Oryctolagus cuniculus: one gene and its partners. The protein of the gene in region 2 purifies or fractionates together with the protein of the main gene of each other region. This does not show direct contact. Links are inferred from orthologs where the notes say so. Each region holds a gene or a part of one and is shown on either strand. Other genes may lie near its edges. The genes, in order: KIF5C, KLC2, KIF5A and KIF5B.

What was found.
Region 1: the proteins of KLC2 (region 2) and KIF5C purify together in Homo sapiens (affinity purification with western blotting; 3 studies listed by BioGRID and IntAct, with this or other methods). This does not show direct contact. The link is inferred for Oryctolagus cuniculus from reciprocal best matches to the Homo sapiens genes KLC2 and KIF5C.
Region 3: the proteins of KLC2 (region 2) and KIF5A purify together in Homo sapiens (affinity purification with western blotting; 3 studies listed by BioGRID and IntAct, with this or other methods). This does not show direct contact. The link is inferred for Oryctolagus cuniculus from reciprocal best matches to the Homo sapiens genes KLC2 and KIF5A.
Region 4: the proteins of KLC2 (region 2) and KIF5B fractionate together in Homo sapiens (co-fractionation; 7 studies listed by BioGRID and IntAct, with this or other methods). This does not show direct contact. The link is inferred for Oryctolagus cuniculus from reciprocal best matches to the Homo sapiens genes KLC2 and KIF5B.

Annotation. Positions count from the first base shown.
Region 1 is NC_091434.1:93,305,048-93,310,578, forward strand, and holds part of KIF5C (kinesin heavy chain), read right to left. Parts: intron 1,269-5,531; coding exon 1,144-1,268; intron 1-1,143. UniProt on the Homo sapiens protein: Microtubule-associated force-producing protein that may play a role in organelle transport. Has ATPase activity. Involved in synaptic transmission. Mediates dendritic trafficking of mRNAs.
Region 2 is NC_091432.1:5,578,767-5,583,462, forward strand, and holds part of KLC2 (kinesin light chain 2), read right to left. Parts: intron 4,110-4,696; coding exon 3,879-4,109; intron 3,793-3,878; coding exon 3,723-3,792; intron 2,855-3,722; coding exon 2,632-2,854; intron 2,481-2,631; coding exon 2,393-2,480; intron 2,282-2,392; coding exon 2,180-2,281; intron 2,092-2,179; coding exon 1,918-2,091; intron 1,806-1,917; coding exon 1,706-1,805; intron 1,507-1,705; coding exon 1,457-1,506; intron 1,365-1,456; coding exon 1,297-1,364; intron 955-1,296; coding exon 846-954; intron 765-845; coding exon 609-764; intron 553-608; coding exon 410-552; intron 257-409; coding exon 199-256; intron 70-198; coding exon 1-69. UniProt on the Homo sapiens protein: Kinesin is a microtubule-associated force-producing protein that plays a role in organelle transport. The light chain functions in coupling of cargo to the heavy chain or in the modulation of its ATPase activity.
Region 3 is NC_091442.1:60,182,575-60,188,105, forward strand, and holds part of KIF5A (kinesin heavy chain), read left to right. Parts: intron 1-56; coding exon 57-121; intron 122-243; coding exon 244-353; intron 354-702; coding exon 703-804; intron 805-1,641; coding exon 1,642-1,702; intron 1,703-1,946; coding exon 1,947-2,018; intron 2,019-2,164; coding exon 2,165-2,269; intron 2,270-4,731; coding exon 4,732-4,948; intron 4,949-5,531. UniProt on the Homo sapiens protein: Microtubule-dependent motor required for slow axonal transport of neurofilament proteins (NFH, NFM and NFL). Can induce formation of neurite-like membrane protrusions in non-neuronal cells in a ZFYVE27-dependent manner.
Region 4 is NC_091444.1:102,483,421-102,489,416, forward strand, and holds the start of KIF5B (kinesin-1 heavy chain), read right to left. Parts: upstream 3,934-5,996; 5' UTR 3,463-3,933; coding exon 3,337-3,462; intron 1-3,336. UniProt on the Homo sapiens protein: Microtubule-dependent motor required for normal distribution of mitochondria and lysosomes. Can induce formation of neurite-like membrane protrusions in non-neuronal cells in a ZFYVE27-dependent manner.

The DNA of each region.
Region 1 (5,531 bases), on a different chromosome or scaffold from region 2:
GTGCCATCAGGCTCTTTACGCCGACCCATAGATGGCATGGCCGGAAAGCTTTTCAGCCGTCAACAGTCAGTCGGGAACACAACAGCACTGCTTTGTAACTTCGAAGCTACAAGCCCACACCAGCACAATGTTGGACTCCCAACCAGGAATATCCAAAGGATCTTCTGCTCATAGCCCCACAAATGCAAAGGGGAGGGAAACTTAAGGAATTATGACTTAGACAGATGCTAGAGGACATAACTTGGCAAATGGGAACTCAGTGATGTGGTGCAGCACATCACTGGGGGTCAGTGGGGGTCAATGATACAGCGAGGGAGACTGACCAAACCTCAAGGCTCACCCTGATGGCCACTAAAGGCATGATGGCAGTGACAAGGGAGGAAAAGGCACTGTGCAGGTGCATCTGCTCTGAGATGTTGCCCAATGGGGAAAGATTCCCCAGCCATGGTGTGGCAGCAGGAGTCTCCATTGGTGCTACAGAATTGAGGCTGGTAAGGGGCAGGTGGGAGATTCTAGGAAGCCTACTTGGGAGGCATGGGATGGGGTACAGATGCCAAAAGAAAGTCCTGACAAAACCAGAGACCAGTCAGGGTTTGTGGCTAAAAGAATGAGCACAGGACTCACAGCCTAAGGAACCAAGGCCGCCCTCAGAAGATAGATCAATCCATGCCCACTGCCAGGAGAACCAGGAAGAGGCCGAGGTTACACAGATTTTATCAGCAAAACAGAGCCACAGAGGCAGAGCTGCTGCTTCCCACGGCAAAGCCATTCCCTGGCCTAGCTGAGCCTGGTACACAGGGCATCTTCCCTTTTCTCAGACATTCATGCCCCTTCCACATTGGCACAGCTGTCCTTGTCAGGACACGTTCAGACCAACACTTGACTAACGTTGTCACCAGGGCCTGTTCGGCATAAATCACCATTAGCATTCAGAGCATCTGCCTGTGATATGAACAGGGAACTTCAGGACCAGAAAATAAAGAGCAGGGAAACAAAGGTTAAATTTAATAACACCTTGGCACAACATCAGAAACTTAAAAAGCTTTTTAAAATAGGGAATAGAAAGGCATAAAAACCACGCCATTGCACGCTGAAGCAAATAACAGGGGAAATTATAGATAACACAAATAAAGAACCAATTACCTTTTCGCTCCCAGCCAAATCAACCAAATAAAGCTTCCCACTGAGTTTTTTTTCAGTCTCCACATTCTCTTGTTTAATATTAATCAGGAAGATACTGTGACTTCTAGAGCTGTGTTCATTCATGTCTGAAAAGGAAAATAGTTTACTGCGCTACAAAAAAACACATAAACTGAGATGGCAAACCTCTCGACTAAAAAGCGCAATAAATCATGCCTTCCCAGTCAGTTGTGAAAACCACCTGAGACACACTGTTTCCTCTTAAAAACAAGCTCACTCTTGAAAAGCAAGATTTAACATATCTTCAAGTAGCAGAGAAATTCATCTAAAAATCTTGGTCAACAGCTTGAGATACTCTAGCTCTGCCTGAAGCCCACATTCTACCGCAGCCTGACTCTCCTTCAGTATGTAGCTTTTTCCCCTGCCTCACTTTAAATCTCACAGATGCTATTATCTTGATTAGTACCTGATATATTCTAGCTCAGTCACGTATGGAAGCCTGACCTTATCAGGAACAGTATAAGCTTCCTTAAGGAAGGATTAAGACTTTCTTAAGGAAGGATTAAGACCTACACCTCTTCTGCAACTCATGTTAAGTGCATAGAAGATCTCAAAGATTAAAAATGCCCCCATTAGGATGGAGTACTAGAAATAAAGTTCCTTGAAAACCCTGGCCAGTCAACCAGGCAGAAACAGAGGCCCACAATGCAACCCTCACCAGCAATCATTGCTCAAAACCACCTCACCAGATATGTAAAAAGTCCTAAAGAAACCTTCTTAAGAAACTGTTAGGACTGTTTAACAAAGCATACAAAATCAACACATAAAAAATCACTCACATTTCTATATCACAATAATCCAAAAAGTAAATTAAGAAAATGCCATTTACAATAGGAACAAAAATAATAAAATATTTAGGAATAAACTTAAAAAAGGAGGTAAAAGTTTTGTACACTGAAAATTAGGAAATGTTGCCAAAAGATATTAAAGAAAACACAAATAAATGGGAAGACATCCCATGTACATTGGAAGACTTACTCTGGCAAAATGGCAACACCAGAGGCCAGTGTTAGCACAGCAGGTTAGCAGTCTCCTGCGACAATGGCATCCCATATGGGTGCCAGTTCATGTTCCAGCTGCTCTATTTTCAATTCAGCTCCCTGCTAATGTACCTGGGGAAGCAGCGGAAGATGCCCAAGTGCTTGGGCCCCAGCTACTCACATGAGAGACCCAGACGAAGCTCTTGGCTCCTAGCTGTTGCAGCCATTTGGGGAGGGAACCAGTGAATGGAAGATCTCTCTCTCACTCTCTCTTTCTCTGTCTCTGTCTGTCCCTCTCTCTCTGTAACTGTGCCTTTCAAATAAATAAATAAATCTTCAAAATGTCAACACCATCCAAAATAACCCACATGTTCAATGCAAACACTATCAAAATCTCAGTGACAGTTTTTGTAGAAACAGAAAATTCCTTCCTAAGATTCATACAGAATCTCAAGAGATCTTGAATAGCCAAAACAATCTTGAAAAGTAAGAACAAGGTTGGACACCTCACAGTTACTGCTTTCGAAAGTTACTACAAAGCAACAGTAATCAGAACAGTGTGGTAGCAGCAAAAGACCAACATACAGACGAACAGAACAAAATAAAGAGCCCTAAAATAAACTCCAGCACATCAGTCAAATAACCTTCATCAAGGGTAACCAAAAAGTTCAAGGGGGAAATGACAGTCCTTTCACCAAATGGTGCTGCAACATTTACACATAAAAGTCTCAAACCATACACAAAAACTGGTTTGGTTCAGAAAGGAAAATATAAGATTCTTTGAGGAAATCATAGCACCAGATTTGGCAATGATTTCTTGGATAAGACACTAAAAGCATAAGTGCAATAGATGGATGGAAATGATGTTAACACACAATGAGGATGTGTTTAATACCACAGAGCTGCATAGTTAGCTAATGTTCTGAAGCAGCAGATCTAAATTAAGGAACCGAAAGGTATACTGTGAATAATAATTAGTCATGAATAATTCGTGACTAACAACAGCTTATGAAACAGAATGAACTACTTTTTTGCCAAAACAGATATATTACTGATATAAGCATATCAGTATTGGGCAGCCATGTGGCACACTGGTTAAACAGGGCGTGGGACATCCTTATCCCATAGCAGTGTGGCTAGGTTTCAGTCCCAGGCTCTGCTAACATGGACCTTGGGAGATAGTACAGGTAGTGGTTCAAGTACTTGGGTCTCTTCCATTCATCTCGGAAACCTGGATTGGGTTCTCAACTCCCAGCTTTGGCCTGGATCAGCTCTGGCTATTATAGGCAACTGGGGAATGAGCCAGTGGATAGGAGATCTCCTTCTCTATCCATCTGTCTCACTGCCTTTCTAGTATATAAAATAAAGATTGTTTTTTAAAAACAATCTTACACTCTTCCCTGTGTACATGTTTTAAGCAAGAGGGAAAGAAGTGAAGTCTGACCACACTGTATACAAGTTTAGGCTCTGGGGCTGGCACTGTGGTATAGTACGTAAAGCATCTGCCTGCAGCATCAGCATTCCATAGGGGCACCAGTTCTAGTCCCTACTGCTCCTCTTCCAATCCAGCTCTCTGCTATGGCTTGGAAAGCAGTAGAAGGTGGCCCAAGTCCTTGGGCCCTTGCACCCAGTGGGAGACCTGGAGGAAGCTCCTGCCTCCTGACTTTGGCTTTGGATCAGATCAGCTCCATCTGTTTGAGGAGTGAACCAGCAGATGGAAGACCTTTCTCTCTGTCTCTCCCTCTCTCTATCTGTAACTCAGCCTCTCAAATAAATAAATCAATCTTTAAAAAAAAAAGTCTAGACTCACCTATGAAATCTGCCACACATATAAACATCATCAGACACACTCTTGGGGTAGAGAAAAGGCTGGATCACAGAATCATAGAACCTCAGGTGGAAGAGACTTAAAGAGCTGAGATGAGCCTCTTCTACAACAGGATAGTGAACTCACTCTCTCTCTAGGAGCAGGCTTTAGTTGGGGCAGCCATAAGGATTACAGAGTTCTTATGGCAAATGAAAATCTATCCTCCCTAGTGGTTAAGACACTGCTTCCTAATAATGTATACCCTGGGAAGAAGCAGGTGATGGCTCGACTACCTAAAAAGCTGCCACTCACATGGGACAAATGGACTGATCTTCCAGCTGGGTCTCAGATTCAGCCTGGTACAGTCCAGGCTGCTGTGGGCATTTGTACAGTGAACCAAAAGATGGGAGCCTTCTGTTTGTTTTTTTGTCTCTGACTTTCTCTCTCAAATAAATAAAATGAACTAATTTTTTAGAAGCTATGCCTCCCAAGAACCTCAGCAATCCTGCAAGTCTACCCATTGAGACCAAACAGAGCAAGCTGACCTTCTGACCCAGGGTCGGCACCTTCAACTGCTCACATGTCCTCCTCAGATGTTTCTCCCCTCCAACTTCCTCTTTTGGTGAACTTACTTTCATTTGGCCACATCCTTCTATGCCTACCTAACCTTTTCATGGAACCTCTGCCGCTCTAGTACCATATGTGCTGCTTGTCTAAGATGCCTATGCTGGCCGGCGCCGTGGTTCACTAGGCTAATCCTCCGCCTAGCGGCACCGGCACACCGGGTTCTAGTCCCAGTCGGGGTGCCGGATTCTGCCCCGGTTGCCCCTCTTCCAGGCCAGCTCTCTGCTGTGGCCCGGGAGTGCAGTGGAGGATGGCCCAAGTCCTTGGGCCCTGCACCCCATGGGAGACCAGGAGAAGTACCTGGCTCCTGCTATCGGATCAGCGCGGTGCGTGGGCTGCAGCGCGCCAGCCGCGGCAGCCATTGGAGGGTGAACCAACGGCAAAGGAAGACCTTTCTCTGTCTCTCTCTCTCTCTCACTGTCCACTCTGCCTGTCAAAAAAAAAAAAAAAAAAAAAAAAAAAAGATGCCTATGCTGGGGAAGGTAGTGCCCAGCAAATGAGCCAATAAGAATGCATCTGCTATTAACCAGCATTGGAACGTTACCAGAAAGCTCCAAGTTCTGCTTTCTAACTTCCTCCTTGCCTTTCTTTTCCTCTTATATGAATGGCATGCAGAATTTGTTGGCTTGGATTTTTTTAACCTGAATACTAACATGGTTAAAATAACATTCAGGCTTAAGCTGTTATCAAGGTCCATAGTCTCAATCAGTATTTCCATAACCTCAGAGTACTACGCACAGTCAACAGCACCTTTCCCAAAACCTGCCCTGGACACCCTGGGACTACACTTGTTCTGATGTCTGGGTTCAGCTCACCATTCACCACACACCTTGCCATGTATTGCTTCATTTATACCTCACCTCCACCTGTGCTGGGTGGGAGGCAGACATCTGTATCCTAAGTGACAGGGGAGGAAACAC
Region 2 (4,696 bases):
GCTCCGTCGGGAGAGGTCCATGGAACTGGAGCTGAGGGTGCGGCTGTCAGAGAGCCCCGCGCCGCCAGGCTGCGGACAGAGGGGGCCCTGGTGAGCTCCTGCGGGTCAGGGCTGCGTGCACGCTGGCACCCACCGTCGCACAGGCCCGAGCAGGCGGGCAGGGACGCGCCCGGGGCACAGACGGCCACCCGCCCCTACCTGGGCTGGCTCCTCCACGCTCTTGTTGAGGAAGTTGAGGGAGCTGGCCCGCTTCATCCTGAGGGAAGAGGGCGCCCTGGTCTGCGGGGGAGCTGGGGCAGGGTGGGGGAGGGGAGCCGCCCTGGCGCCGGGGGTGGGGCCTGGGCGGGTGGCAGGGGCTCAAGGGGCTTAGCAGGGTGGTCCTGAGGGGCTCGCTCGGTTAGGGGCTCACCTGGGGTTGGGCGGTTCCTGGGGGCCACCCCCCTGCAGCTTCTTCACCAGCATCTCGCTGCTCCGCCTCAGGGCTTCGCGGAGCTTCCCGAAGGAGCCGCTGCGCCGCAGGGAGCCGCTGCCGTCCTGCGGCACAGCACCAGGCTGTCTCCAGGCTGCGCCGGCTGCGCCGGCTCCCGGCCCCCCAGCCCCAGACTCACCCCGCTCCACTCGGCCGCAGGCCCTGCCTCCTCGAGGTCCGACTCCGCGCGAGGCCCGGCCCCCCCGGCCACATCCCGGCCGCGGCGGTCTCCCCGCCCGCTACCGCCGTCTTTCAGCAGCTCCACCACCTTGGTCTGGCTCGCGGGGTCCAGGCCCTGGGGGAGGGGCAGGGGGCATCAGGCCCCGGCTGGAAGACGCAGGCCCACGCGCCTGTCCGCCCTCGCGAGGAGCCCCACCTGCTTGCGGCTGCGGTCGGCACAGTCCTCCAGCGTGTGTGCGGCCTCCAGCTTGCCCTGGCGCCGGTACAGGGCTCCCAAGCTGCGCAGGGTGGTGTTGACCGTGGGGCTGCGGTGGGGTGGCCGGACACCTCAGACTCCGTGTTCCCTGAACCCAGGCCCCCGGCACCCAGCCCACACTAGCCCCCGCTGGGTGGCGAGCTTTGTGCTAGGCCCCCCGGCTTCTGCGGTCCTCAGGGAGTCACCCCAGAGCTGTCCTGACCCCAGGGCCCTCGTGGGACGCTGCCACGGGCTGCGGAAGCTGCAGGACCCGGGGCGACAGGCGGCCAGTGCAGAAAACCTCCCTGGGACAGGGGAGCCGGCAGAGAGGAGCGGTTTCAGGGTGACCCAATGCCATTCCGCTGCCACCAACTCCACCAGCAGCCCCGCCCGGCCGGCCCCGGCCCCTCACCTGTCCACTTTACAGGCCTTGTACCAGCTGCCGTACTCCCCGTAGGGGGCGCTGTCCCGGCGCTTATCCTGTGGGAAGGCAGGCCAGGGAGGTGGGAGAAGGCTCCTCCCACGCGCAGCCTCACCCCTCCCTGACACCTGCCCGCCCGGCCTGCATCTACCTTGCTCTCCTCTCGCTCCTCTGCGTGCATCCAGATGGGCTTGTTGTCCCCTGGGGAGAAAGGACGCCGTCACCAGCCTGCCACACAGGCCTCTCCTGGTTGCGGGGGGACCGGGTACGGCTTTGTCGAACGGCCAGGAAACAGACTCCACCCATCTCGGACGCTGGACGGACGAGCGAGGCACAGGCGTGTGGCCGGGGCTTGTGTCCCGGGGCACAGGGCGTCCAGGGCCGGACGCCAGGGGCTCACCGTTGACGGAGCCGAACTCCTTCTCGTGCGCGCGCGTGAGGATCTCCTTGTACAGGGTCTCGGCGTCCTGGTACTTGCCCTGCTTCAGGTAGCAGGACGCCTGCGGGGCCGAGCGTGCGGGCGGTGTGAGCGGCGGGGGGCGGGGGAGCCCAGGCTCCTCCCTCTCCCCGCCCCCGCCCCCGCCCGGCCGCCAGCCCCTCGCCCCGAGGCACCAGGTTGTTCTTGGTCTTGGCCACGTTGGGGTCGTCGGGCCCGAGGCGCGCGGCGTAGATCTCCAGCGCCCGCCGGTAGTAGTGCTCCACCTCCTGCGCCTTGCCCTGGTTCTGGCACAGCAAGGCCAGGTTGCTGAGCTGCTTCGCCACGTCGGGGTGGAACTTGCCCAGGACCTGCGGGGGGGAGGGAGCCGGCGGCTGGGCGGGGGCTGCGGGCCCCCTGCCTGCCCTGCTCGCCAGCCCCGCGGCGCCCTGCGCCCACCTTCTCGCGGATCTCCAGCGCCCGTTTGCACAGCGGCTCGGCCTCCTTGTACTTGCCCCGCTTGCCGTAGAGAACTGCCAGGTTGTTCAACGTCGCGGCCACCTAGGCGCGGGGACGGAGGCTCCTCACGCAGGGCCCCGCTGGGCAGGGACGCGGGGACCCAGGAGCTGCAGGGGATGGGAGGCGGCCCCTCCTGACCCGACCCTCACTCACGGCGGGGTGGTCCTTGCCCAGGGTCTTCTCACGGATGGCCAGGGCGTCATTGAGCAAGTGGGCGGCCTCCTTGTACTTGTTCTGGTCCCTGGGAGCAGGTGGGCACGGTCAGGATCACCGTCCAACCCCAGGCTGCGCGGGAGTGGGCCTGGGCAGCCCCTGTCCTCCAGGCGCTCGGGCACTCCGGGCAGCTCGCCTCGCAGGGCGTCCGCCTCCCACTCAGGACCCTGGGCCCTCACCGGTAGACCAGCGCCAGGATGTTCAGCATGGTGGCCACGTCAGGGTGGTCGTGGCCCGACGTCTTCTCCAGGTCCTCGAGTGCCTGCTTGCAGAGCGGCACGGCCACCTCATAGCGGCCCTGCGACGCGTACTGGATCACCAGGTTGTGCAGCGTGCGGAGTCGTGCCGGGATTTCATAGCCCCCATGCTGGGTGGCCACATCCCCTGCTCCAGGGCTGGGGGCTGCGGGGTCAGGACAGATCAGATGTACCACCTGCCCGCCGGGCTGGCCAATGGCTTTGCCCCACCTGACACGTGGCCCTGGGCAAGCCACGAGCCACTCTGCCTCAGTTTCCCTATTTGGAGAGTAGGTCTGGTTACCCACAGGAAACTGGGCGGAAGCTGTGTGTCCCACCGCTAGTGCCTAGCCTCTCAGCCTCAGGTCTGCACCTGCGGCATGCTCAGCGCCAGGAGACAGCCCGTGCGGCCTGGCCCACAGCGGCTGAGTACCTGTGCTCCAAACAGAGCAGGCTGGGAGAGGGGGAACTCCCGGGCGCACACAGGGGCTGGTGACACACACCGCAGGACAGGAAGCCAGGCCTGGCTCTGCAGCGCTTTTACCTGGATGTGTACTCCTCAGAGGGGCGGGGGCCGGGAGGCAGGGAGAGGGGAGCACTGTGGGGACCCCCACCCCCCAGGAGCTCCAACAGGGAGAGAGGGGCACTGTGGAGACCCCCACCCCCCCAGGAGCTCCAGCAGGGAGGGGGGAGCACTGTGGAGACCCCCACCCCCCCAGGAGGTCCAGCAGGGAGGGGGGAGCACTGTGGAGACCCCCACCCCCGGGAGCTCCAGCAGGGAGAGGGGAGCACTGTGGAGACCCCCACCCCCCCGGGAGCTCCAGCAGGGAGAGGGGAGCACTGTGGAGACCCCCACCCCCGGGAGCTCCAGCAGGGAGAGGGGAGCACCGTGGAGACCCCCCCACCCCGGGAGCTCCAGCACGCTGGGACACGCCAGTCAGAGGCAGGAAAGACCCCGGCTGCTCGGCCCTGCTCCCTGTGCCCTCGGGGTCCCGCGGCCCAGGAGTTCATGCAGAGCCACTGCCCAAGCGCACCCGGGCTCTGCTCGTCCTCGTTGGGGAACAGGTCGTCCAGAGAGTCTTTGGGGGCATCCCCCTTCTCCTCCTGGGGGGCAGACAGCGTGTGAGGGCGGGGCGGGGCGGGCGCGGGGGCTCCGTGCTGCCCGCCCGCCCACTCCCCACGGGGCTCACGCTGGGCGCGGCGTCCTCGTCCAGCTTGCGGATCTGGCTCATGAACAGCAGGTGCTGCTTCTCCTCCTCCAGCTGGGCCACGGCCTGCTCACTGCGCTGCAGCTTCTGCTGCGTCCCCGCCAGCTCCTCCCGCAGCCACTGGTTCTCCTGCACCAGGCGCCGCACCTGAGCCCGCAGCTTCTGCTTCTCCGACTCCACGGCCCCCAGGTGGCTCGACAGCGCCAGGATCACCTGTGCAGGCGGCCGGGACAGGCGTCAGCGCGGCTCTCCAGGAAGCGCCGGGCCTGGTTCTGCCCGGCCGGAGCTGCGGGGCCTCAGGCCTTGGGTCTCCCACCCTCAAGGAGCTTCCCCTCGACACCCCAAACAATCCCAGTCCAAGGCTCAAACGCAGGAGGTGGGGGGTCCCTGACTGCTTCCTTCTGGGGTCAGGAGGACCCTGGAGGAGGGCTGGCCGGGTGCCGTGCTCCCGAGTGACCGTCCATCTCTCTCGAGGGTCGCAGCGTCCCTGCCCAGGGCCAGCAGTGGCCAAAGAACCCTGAGATGCTGAAGGCCATCCTGGCTTGTGCTGTGCGTCCACAGCGGCCCCTGCTTTCTGGGGCGCCCAGGTAGGGGAGGGCAGCACGTCCCAACGCCGCGGGGGCCTGCGGCACCTTGGCAGAGGCCCCCATCTGACGCCGTCCCCTCCCCACCCAGGCCTCCGTCTGACGCTGTCCCCTCTCTCCATCCAGGCCTCCATCTGACGCTGTCCCCTCTCTCCATCCAGGCCTCCATCTCACACCGTCCCCTCCCCAGCCAGGCCTCCATCTGACGCTGTCCCC
Region 3 (5,531 bases), on a different chromosome or scaffold from region 2:
CCACCTGTGGGTCTATCTGGAGGAGATGGGTTTGGTATGAGCTGTCTTTCTCATAGAAACTGTGCATGAGGTGGCCCTGAAGGACAAGGAGCCAGACACCCAGGATGCGGATGAAGTGAAGGTGAGTGCGGGGCTGGGGCTGGGGCCGGGGCTGGGGCCGGGGCCGAGGGTGGCGCAGGAGCAGAGACTTCATGGGGGTGCCTTGGGAGTCCGGCTTTGAGCCTGGAGTGGGGTTATTTGCAGAAGGCTCTGGAGGTGCAGATGGAGAGTCACCGGGAGGCCCATCACCGGCAGCTGGCCCGGCTCCGGGACGAGATCAATGAGAAGCAAAAGACCATTGATGAACTCAAAGAGTAAGGTTCCCGTGGGTGGCCCCAGTCTCCCCCAGGTCCTCCCGTCCTGCGGGGCGCGCTCAGCTGCCCTTCCGGATCTGGTTCTTCCACTCCCACGTGTCGTTCCGTCCACCGTGACACAGCTTTGCAGCCCAGCTGTATCAGGAGATACAGAAGTATGGACTGCTCCCTCCCCTTGAGGCCTGACTGATTGGCGAGCTCAGGGCTGTTTGCTGTGTCACAGAAGCAGTGGCCTGCATTGATGCATCCATTCCAAGTGGCTTCCCTCCTGCAAGGAGGAGAGTGCTTGAAGAGCTTTCTTCCCTTTCCTGCGCGTGAACCTCTGCTTTTCTCCCCGCGGCCCTCACAGCCTGAATCAGAAGCTGCAGCTGGAGCTGGAGAAGCTGCAGGCCGACTATGAGAAGCTGAAGAGCGAAGAGCACGAGAAGAGCGCCAAGCTGCAGGAGCTGACGTGAGTGATGCTCACCCGCGCCCAGCGGGCCCACAGAGGCGGGACGCCTGGGCACCTGGCACACATGGCCACCCACAGGTCAGGGAGGGGCCAAGGAGACTCAGAAGCGACCTGAGTAGTAGCCGGAAGAGGCCTGTGGGTTCTGTTAACTGTGAAAAGCTGGTGTAAGAGCAGTCTGGTATGACCCCATAAAAACCTGCACGTGGGTGCAGGGCCCCAAGGACTTGCTTCATCTTCCACTTCTTTCCCAGGCACATTAGCAGGGAGATGGATTGGAAGTGAAGCAACTGGGACTTGAACCGGTGCTCATACGGGATGCTGGTGTCACAGGCGGCTGCTTAACCCACTACACCATGACACCAGCCCCATCTCTCTCTCTCTTTTTTTTTTTAAAGAGGGATGTTCTTTTTCTCATTTTTTTTTTTTTATTTTCTTGAGAAGCAGAAAGTGAGAGAGAGTTTGCTTCCATATGCTGATTTGCTCCCCAGCTGCTGCTGGGCTGGCCAAAGCTAGAAGCCAGGAGCTCAATCCGGGTCTCCCATGTGGGTGGCTCGGGACCCAGTAGCCCGAGCCATCACTGCTGCTTCCTAAGGTCTGCCTAAGTGGGAAGCTGGAACCAGGAGCTGGATTCAGGAATCAAACCCAGGCTCACTGTGGGACGCAAGTGTCCTCACCCCAGGCTAAATACCCACTCCCTTAGCGCTCTTTTAAAATCCTTTTCTAGTTTTTGTACAGTATCCCTGAGTACTTTGTGCAACACAATGATCAGGGATAAAAGGGGTGGGGGCGGTGAGTGAGGCTTTCTGTGTCCTGCTCTCTCTGCGTCCTCTGCTGCAGATTTCTGTACGAGCGACACGAGCAGTCCAAGCAGGACCTCAAGGGTCTGGAGGAGACAGTTGTGAGTGGCTTCCTTCTGTGCCAAGCAATGGGGTGTGGGGGGCGGGGCTTCGTGACGTCCCCTCTGTTTCTCCCTGACCCCTCTCCCCGTCCAGTCTGTGGCGTAATCAGGACACCCCCCACCCCCTGCCCCTGGAAAGGGTGAGTGACTCCCTTGACTGTGTAGAGCCGAGGTTCCCGTAAGTCTGGAGGGAGGGGGTGGGTGTGGCACCTGGCCAGCCCCAGTGTTTCATGATCCCTTCCAGGCCCGTGAACTCCAGACCCTCCACAACCTTCGCAAGCTGTTCGTTCAAGACGTCACGACTCGAGTCAAGAAAGTGAGTGCCATCCTCGGCCGCGCGCGTGCGCACACACACACCCACCCCTCTCCACGTATCTGCAGCCCCTGCTCTCCCTGGTGGGGCTGGCTGCACCCGCTCTCTGGGGGACCTGCTTGGCCACATCTTTGTCTGTCTCTGATCAGAGTGCAGAAATGGAGCCCGAGGACAGTGGGGGGATTCACTCCCAAAAGCAGAAGATTTCCTTTCTTGAGAACAACCTGGAACAGCTTACAAAGGTTCACAAACAGGTAAGAGTCCGGAGGTGGGGCCAAGACAGTCTTTGAGGCCAGACACCTAGGACACCCAGATCCTTGGAGACCCTGGGTCCAGAAACACCTGGTTGCTTGTTTTCCTGTTCTCTTTTACTTGCCCTACTGATGCGGATGCCGTCTTTGGGCCTTGGCCTTGGCCTTTGCTGCCTGCCTGCTTTCCCTTCTCCGAGTCCCTGACCCAGCCCTGCTCCAAGTGGAGTTCCTCAGACTTGCCTTGGAGAGAGAGGTTGAGGCTGGCAGAGGTCGGAAAGGCTTGGGGGGTGGGGGTGTCTCTGTCACCACACCAGAGGGAAGGCAGGGAGAAAGAGGAAGGGTGAGAACTCCAGCTGCCTAGGCCTGGGCTGGCCTGCAAGGACATTAAGCAGTGTCCTGGAGACGGCCCGGGCAGCGCCTGGCTGGGGCAGGTGAGAGCCTCTGTGTGTTTGGTCGCTGCCTCTCTGCGCCCCTCCTTGCTGCTGTGGCTCTAAGGTGCATGACTGGTGCTCACAGGGGCGGGGTGGGGAGGCAGAGGGCAGTCCAAAGGAGTGAGGACAGGAAGTATTTGGTGTGTACAGAGCAGGTGCACCCTCGCTGCTGCCACGCAGCTGGGCCTTGAAGGCAGGCGCAACAGCCTGGCGAGTGGCTCTTCTAATGAATTCATAAAAGAAGCTCGAGCACGCACTTCAGTTCCGTCCTTGCAAATCCACCTGACAGTTCCATCAGACTCATATTCTCACTAGCCGGGAACTTCAACTTCTCTTCCTCCCAATGTAATGTCTAGCCTATATGGTATGGACTATATATATATATATATATATATATATATATGATTTATTTTATTTATGTGAAAGAGTTACAGAGAGAAGTAGAGACAGAGAGAGAGAAAGAGGTCTTCCATCTGCTGGTTCACTCCCCAAATAGCCACAATGGCTGGAGCTGAGCCAATCTGAATCCAGAAGCCAAGAGCTTCTTCCTGGTCTCCGATGTAGGTGCAGGGGCCCAAGGACTTGGGCCATCCTCCACTGCTTTCCCAGGTACATTAGCAGGGAGCTAGATCAGAAGTGGGGCAGCTGGGACTCAAACCGGCACCCATATGGGATGCTGGTGCTGTAGGCCGGGGCTTTAACCCACTGCGCCACAGCATTGGCCCCCAACAGTAAATATTTAATACATTAAAAATTTTTTTTGTTTGTTTATTTAGAGAGAGGCAGAGGCAGTTAGAGAGAACTCCCATCTGCTTGTTTACTCCCCCAATGCCTTGCAGTGGCTGAGGCTGGGCCAAACCAAAGCCAGTAGCCAGAAATTCAATCTGGGTCTGGCACAGGTTGGGGGATCCAGTTACTCGAGTCAGCGCCCTTGCCTTCCAGAGCCTGCATTAGCAGGAAGCTGGAGTCGAGAGTCAGAAGCCAGGGCTGGGTATGGAACCCAGGCGCTCCCACGTGGGATGAGGGCATCTTAACTGCTAGACTAAACACCACTGCTACTTTTTTCAAAAAATGAAAATATCCCAAACCTGTGTCCCAGGGATGACCTGCAGGCTCTATTTTGATTTGTGTCTGCAGAAGTCTTTACAGCTATTTTTATTTCCTTGACTTATAAAACAGTGCAACAACATTTTTACGGAAACGTTGAAAAAATAGCCAGGAAATGGTTTGTAATCAGTTCTGCCATTCTGTTCTCCCCACTGTGTGTTCACCATCCCTCTCTGTGCAAATGCCGATTGTCAGAGGAGAGGTGCACAGAAAGGCTCCCAGCTCCGCCCCTTTACTGCTCTGCTGGCTTCCCCTGTGTCTGCCAAGGCCCAGCACCTCCTGCAGTCTTGGTGCTCCCAGTCCTTGTGGGGAGCCCTGTGAAAGAGCAAGAAATCTTTGCTCGCTGCAAAGGTAGCAGCTGCTCCCTCGCTCTGGCTTCATTCAGATGGGGGTAGGACAGCCCAGGAAGTCTTGGAATGAGAAGGTAGTGAGCAGAAATGTGAGAACGACTCTGTGTGTGTGTGTATGTGTGTGTGTGTGTGTGTGTGTGTGTGTGTGTGTGTGTGTGGCAGGGGAGTGGGGTGGAGGAGGGGTCTGAATTCCGGCTTCTGCTCCTGCTCTGCACCTGACCGGCACCCATTCGTAGTGCCATCACCACCTCCACGCTGCGACTCCTTGCACTGCCCCATGCGTGCTCACAAAGCCATCCCCGGGGCGGGGTCGTCGGCTGGTCCCCATGGTTGCCCTGCAGTTGTTGATCCAGCACATGCTGTGGCATTTGTTGAAGGGAAATGTCCAGCCCAGACAGTGGAGAGGGCAGGTTTTGCTGCCTAGAGAACAGAACTTTGTAACGCATGACTGCCCCTTGCTCAGAGAGAAGTGGGCAGGACAGTACGCTATGCCAAGGGACCTGGTGTCCGTCTTCTCTGGCTTCGAGATCTTTCTTCTCTCTCCCCATCCCTCACCCCGTGCTCTTCCCTTTGGCAGCTGGTACGTGACAATGCAGATCTGCGTTGTGAGCTTCCTAAATTGGAAAAACGACTTAGGGCTACGGCTGAGAGAGTTAAGGCCCTGGAGGGTGCACTGAAGGAGGCCAAGGAAGGCGCCATGAAAGACAAGCGGCGCTACCAGCAGGAGGTGGACCGCATCAAGGAGGCCGTGCGCTACAAGAGCTCCGGCAAGCGGGGCCACTCGGCGCAGATCGGTGAGTGGCGGCCCTAACACCTGGAGCAGACTCTGCAGCCCTCGAGCGCCAAGCCGCTATGTGACTGCTTCTTCCTTGCCCCATGCCTGAAAAGTAAAAAAGGAATGATTATCTTTTTTAAAATTTTATTTTATTAATTTGAAAGGCATAGAGATGGGTGGGGAGATAAAGAGAGAGAGAGAGAGAGAGATGTTCCATCCACTGGTTCGCTCCCCAAATGTCTGCAACAGCCAAGGCTGGGCCAAGCTGAAGCCAGGAGTCAGGAACTCATGCTGGGTCTTCCCCGTGGGTGGCGGGGGCCCAAACACTCGAGCCATCACCTGCTGCCTCCCAGGGTGCACACCAGCAGGAAGCTGGATGAGAAATGGAGCTGGGACTTGAACTCAGGGACTCTGATGCGGCGTCTTACCTGCGCTGCCAAATGCCTGGCCCTGTGATACTTATCTTACATGGAACTGGTGGGACCCCAGCTAAATGACCCCCGTGACCCCAGGGAGCACATGGTGACCATAGCCTCCTCAAGGTCATTTCTTCTTTTGGAAAGAAACTTACCTGCGTCATCATTACTATTATTTTCGTTTTA
Region 4 (5,996 bases), on a different chromosome or scaffold from region 2:
TGGTTGATTCTAATTTTGCTTACAAGAAACAATTTAGTCAATAGAAAATAGTAAAAGAATGAAGACAAGTGTCCCTCCAAAATAAGTCAAATAAAAAATCTTATTAAAACAAACATTTAAAGAACAGTAACACTAGTGAGTGTTGTCATACCTTAATTTTCACATCAGTAAAAAATAAAAAAAGTGCTTCCAAATCATATTTACAAAGACATGCCCGAAATAATGGGCAATGTGCCTCAAAAGTACTTTATGTAGCTGTTTACTCTAGCAACACCTCACAGAAAAAATGTAATCACCACACCCTTACTAAAATAAAATGAATGACAATGATTAAAAGATAACACACAAACATAAGCTGGAAGTGAGTGACTATTTTTAGAGGTTATATCATTGTTTAAAAAAGACTCTGTAAAACAAAAAAATTATCTCTAATAGCCTATCATCAAGGGACGTCTATATCTTTCAAGTAAACGAAAAACTCAGTATCTGGACAGCTTTGTTTTAAAAATCTGGCTCTCAGCCTTGAAATGTACATTATGCAACCTTTAATTCTAAGTATCTTCAAAAACACTCCAAAGTTTCCGATTTCAATTTTACAAACGCCGAATCACATGCATTCACATCTGACTTAGGCTTCAAGGGAACAAACCAAACAGGAGTAAGTGTATCTGAACTGCAACCATACCTCAGATTTCCTAAGTGAAGGGATCCTGTTTGAGTCTGCACACAGCAGGCTGAACACCAAATTTGGTTATGAAGGACACCCTGCTGGCAGGGACAAGCCTTTGTCTGGAATTCTGGATTGTGATCTTTTCACACGGGACTGTAAGTTAAATTTTTCCTTCCTTACGCACTGGTTGCGGATACTATTCTACAGCTGTAAGGGTACAGACGGTGGTTCCCTCTTCTCTTTCAATTTCATTCTTAATCAAGAGGGCACCCACACCAAATCCTCATTGACCTGACATGGCAAATCATGTTTTGCTTTAGGCAAGGAAATGAGCAAGATGATCTGATTAGTTTTAGTCTCTTCTAGTATCAATGAACTACAGCAGCCTGTTTTTAGTTCTGCCAACCTCTATGGTACTCCATATAAGGATCAATGATATGCAAGGATACTTAATCAAATGAGCAAGTACTACTTTTATGATGCATAAATATACACATCAGTCATTTTTCTTCCTGACTTTTTTCTGGTATTTTTAGCAAGTTCACTTGAACCACATGAGCTGCTTCCTTTGTCCTCCCTGCCTTGTGGATAACAAATTTTCTAATTTAAAGCAAATATGTGAGTTATATTTGTACCATTTAAAATTTTTCATGATATTCATTTGCTTCATTTCAGTGTGATATTTTTAGCATTCACCAAACACTTAATCAAAAGATGTGATATCCTGACTTAACAGGAACAAAGCTTGGACAAAATATTAAAAACTGAAATTAGAAGAGAATCAGAAATCTTAAAAATTACTTTCTCCAGGAGCACTGATAATTCAGTAACATCATAAGCTGAAATACTTTAAATTCTGACTTAACTAGAGGACTGTACAAAATTTTCTTCAATCATGTTTACAATAATTTAGTTTTAAATGCTTCATTGCAGCAATTCTCTCCCATTTAGTCTGAATCAGGATCAGAATTCAACAAAATGAACAAAACAAACCAAGAGATGATTTTCTTAATTTCACTCCTCCTAATTGCTCTTAATTCATTTACCAGACTTCTGTGCAATTAATGTAGTTATATACAAGAAACCAGTTCCTGAAAATAATGAACTAGACATGTTGCTTTATAATTTTTAAGGTTGTAATGTATTTTTGCTTACACTTTAAAACACCAGACTAAAATGCTCACCAGTTTACCTACAGAGTCACCAACTGTTGACTACTGAATCACAAACCAATCACCTACCCATTATTTTTCATTATCATTTCAACGTACTTACAGTACTGAAGAAATTCTGAAAAACAGAATTCATACATTTACCTTTCCCAAAGGAAAACAACCTAAACTAAATGCATGGTTCCTGTGGTAATTACCTCTTCCTCTTTTAGCTCTCTTCACATTTTATGTCATATTTGAGCCATAACAGAAGGTTACCTTCTACCCCGATCTTAATACATTGTGAATCCTAAAGAACCTTAGTGATACTTGGAGATTTGTGTCAATACACACATAGAAATCGGGATCCATAAGAGAAGCTTAACACAGCGTAAAAGGAAAAAGTGGTTTGTTGAGTCAACTGTAGATGAAGCTGAGTAACCACAAACACCCTGAAGAAACTAGTGGCCTCAAGTTTTGACAACTAATCCAGGCCTTGCAAGCTTCTACTGATTCCATGTAAAATACACCACGCTAAAGGAAAAAGGATTACTGTGCCTGACTTCTCCACCTCGCATGATGTCATTTATACCAGGAGTTTTTCTAGAGGACTTGCTAACAAAGAACCGGCCTAACATCTTTACCCAGAAGTACTTGGTAGCTGTTAATGACCTAACAACTCTTCGTCTTCAAGATGTGAACTTTGCAAACCTTCAGTTTAAACCCTGAAGAACTACAGTCCTGTCTGCTGGTCAATTTTATCTTTTTTAGAATCTTTCTTTTTAAATCACACACTGATATGAAGTAAACGCTTTTTTCCTAGTCTGTTACCCCCTGTTAAAAAGCACAGTGAGATTCTGGATCTTTCTCAGCACGTTATTTGACCCCATCGAACTCAGCTAGCTCTGTTACAAGATTAACCAAAACTGATCAGCGGCAGAGGAAAACCCACTGTTTCTCTGGACAGTCTTCAATTTGCCATTTGTAACTGTTAACGTGGTAAGTCATTCATTCCAAAGGCGGCTGGGCGATCGTTTGTAGGGCGGGTAAAACCCGCCACGGAGACAGTCAGCTGCAACACCTAGCTCTGCGTTCCTACAAACCTAGTACCTTCACGGCTTGCAGCACAAAAGGGCTGGCCGGCCCCACAGGTCACTTTGCAGCTGGACTTTTCAGACCGAGAAGTCGCGATCACCAAGCCCATCCCGAGTGACCGCACGCCCAAACTTAACACGCACCAAACCCGCTCCCCGCACGGCTGCTCCGGCGCCCCAGGTCGGGGAGTGTCCCCGACCGAGCCCGGGCGCCTCCCGTCTCCCAAAGCCGGGGTGGGGGCGGCCCTGGCACGCCGGCGGGGCGGCGCCGTCTCCCTGCCCTGGGTGCCCTGAACCCGCACGGCTGGGGTCACCAAGGCTCCGTCGCGGGGTCCGCACCCCCGCCACCTCCCTCTGCCCCCCGACCCGGCCGGGCCCCGGGGCTCAGGACGCGAGCTGGGGGCAGGGGTCCCTCACTCACCGCGATCAGGACCGTGTCTTCTCCCTGGAACTTGGCCACGTACTTGTCGCCGCGGTTCACCTCGGACTCGTTGAGCGGTCTGAAGCGACACATCACTTTGATGTTGCACTCGGCCGGGTCCGCCATGTTCCTGGAAGCCGGGGCCCGAGGCCGGGGGCCACTCCCCGCCGCTCAGTTCTGCAGGCAGCGGGGCGCAGCGGACGGTCTGGGGTCCCGAGGGCCGCGAGCGTCGGCAGCCGGCCGCGCCGGCACTTCCCCGGACAGGCGCGGCCGAGGAGCCGGCACTCGAAACGCCAGCGCCGGCAGCAGTCGCCCACAGGCTCACTTCCGATCCATCATGGCAGCCGCGGCCGCACCGGGGCAGAGTGTCCGCGGCTCCTCCCCGGCTGGCCTGCGCGGGCCGCGGGGGCTGCGGAGGCTTGGGAGAAGGGCGCAGGAGAGCGGCCCCGGTCTGCTTTCCTCGGGAACACCGGGCCGGGCCCACCAGGCTCCCCAATCGTCTGCCCGCTCGCCGGTGCGCCGGCAGCCGCCCGATCCCTGCTGAGGCCGCCGACGGGCGCCCGGGCGGTGGGATGGGCGGCGCGGGACCAGCACTGCGCAGGCGCGCTGAGCCCCGGCGGCCAATCAGCGCGCGCGCTGGGGGCCCGGGCTGCGCCGGGGGCGGCGCCGTCACCGCGGCGGGGTCGCGGAGTGAAGTTTTCCTGGAAGCTCCCGCGCTGCGGGGCTGCTGGACACCGGGGCCTTGCCGACCGCCGCTGAGTTCCCCAGAGCCATTTAGCTTTCTTTGGGAGACGAAGACGTTGTTGGTAACTCCTTAAAGCTGTAGCTTGTTTCAATGAAATACCGGATTCCCCGAAAGGAGGAGTTCGCTTTCATTTTGGTCTGAGGAAAAGAAAAAAAAAAAAATTCCCTGGCCCATTTTTTTTTTAAGAGCGCGTTGCCAGGAAGAAAGATTTGAAATGAAGGTGGGACTTGGCTCGCTGGTGGAAGCAGTTGCTCCCTCCTCAGAGCGGGCTGGGAGGACAGGAGTGAGACAGAAGGCAGTTTCTCCTGAGGGATGAAGTAGGCAGCTGAAGAAGGCGTAGGCCGGGGCCGGGATCATCAGGTGGCGGCGCATCCTCAGGGAACCCGAGAGCCTACCTCCCGCGAGGAAACGGATGGAACCGGTCCGTGCCAGTTCCGGAGGGGTGACTGGCCTGGAACGCAGAGCTGGCCTTAGGAGGCCTAGGGAGACTGGTGGACTACAGGTCGAAGGGGAAACCATGGCAAAGTTGCCTTCGCCCCCCGTGTGTGGAAGATGGATACCATAAAGGGTCCTCCCGTGCAAGGGGGTCTGGGTTACCACAGGGCTTTGGGGAAAGCGCAGTTTGGGTTAAAAAAAAAAAAAAAAAGTTAAATGAAGCGGCGGTTTAAGAGGCGCCATGCCAAGCAGAGCTTTGAGGGAAGGCACCAACCTGGGGTCTGAACTACAGGGGAGCAGAGGTTCTGCTTCCTTGAACACCACAGAATTAATGCGGAGAAACCGCTTTTTCCGAAGCTTTCCACCTGGCTTGGGAATCCAGGCTGCTTCCCTGTGCCTTAGATTCCTCAGGGAAGAGTGGGATGTTTTATCCTTACTGCTTTAATTTCGATAGTTTGTGATAGTCGGTGGTTCGAAAGAACAAAGCTTCTGGGTAAGAAATTGATGGAAAGGACATTGTGACTTTATGGATGTGACGTGTCCCGGAGAGAAGTACCTGTTTCCTGTCCTCACCTTGCAGTTAGCCTTCATCGTAGCTGTCGGTCCAGGCTGATGAATGAACATCACATTTTTGCTTTCTCACACTTACGACCTATTCTATGTCGTCTGATTTCCCCATCATATCTAATTGATCCTGTCGTTTTTATCTCTAGTTCCAGAAAAAGACAACTGTCTCTCCCTAAGACTAATTGTTCACTTATTCTCTGAATTGTGTCCAACTTCATCCAACACCTGGATGCTACCCACAATCACCATCTTCTTACAACATCTTTGATTTCACTTTTTTTCAGCTTTATTGAAGAAAAAAAAAAAGCAAATAAGCCTGTTCTCCCTGTCTTTAATACTTTCCTTGTTTTCAGTTCATTATTAGCCGTCTGTCAAAGATCAAGCCAATAGTGGTTTAAATGCTAAGGACAGATTTTATTTAGTAATACACCATGACATGGTGGACATCACAGAGTGTATTTACACGACTTGATGGTACAGGTTTCTCTGTACCTAGGCTACATGGCTTAGCATGTTGCTTCTGGGTTACAGACTTGTATAGACGTTACTGAACTGAATACTGCAGACAATTATAACACAATGGTATCTGTGTAGCTAAACATGGGAAAAAAGCAACATAAAAGTGTTTAAGTGTATAGAGCACTTAGCATGAATGGAGCTTGCAGGACTGGAAGTTGCTCTGGGTGAGTCAGTGAGTGAGTGGTGAGTAAGATTATGAAGATCTAGAACAGACATTGCTGTAGACTGCAAATACTACATGTTAAATTGATATTTTTAAATTTTCTTCACTAATACAGCTTCTTAGTCTTTATATATGTACTTTTAAATTTTTGATTTTTTGTATAACAAAGCAGAAACACATGTACACTGTACAAAAATTGTTTCCTCCTTTAGATCCTCTTTAGATCCTTAT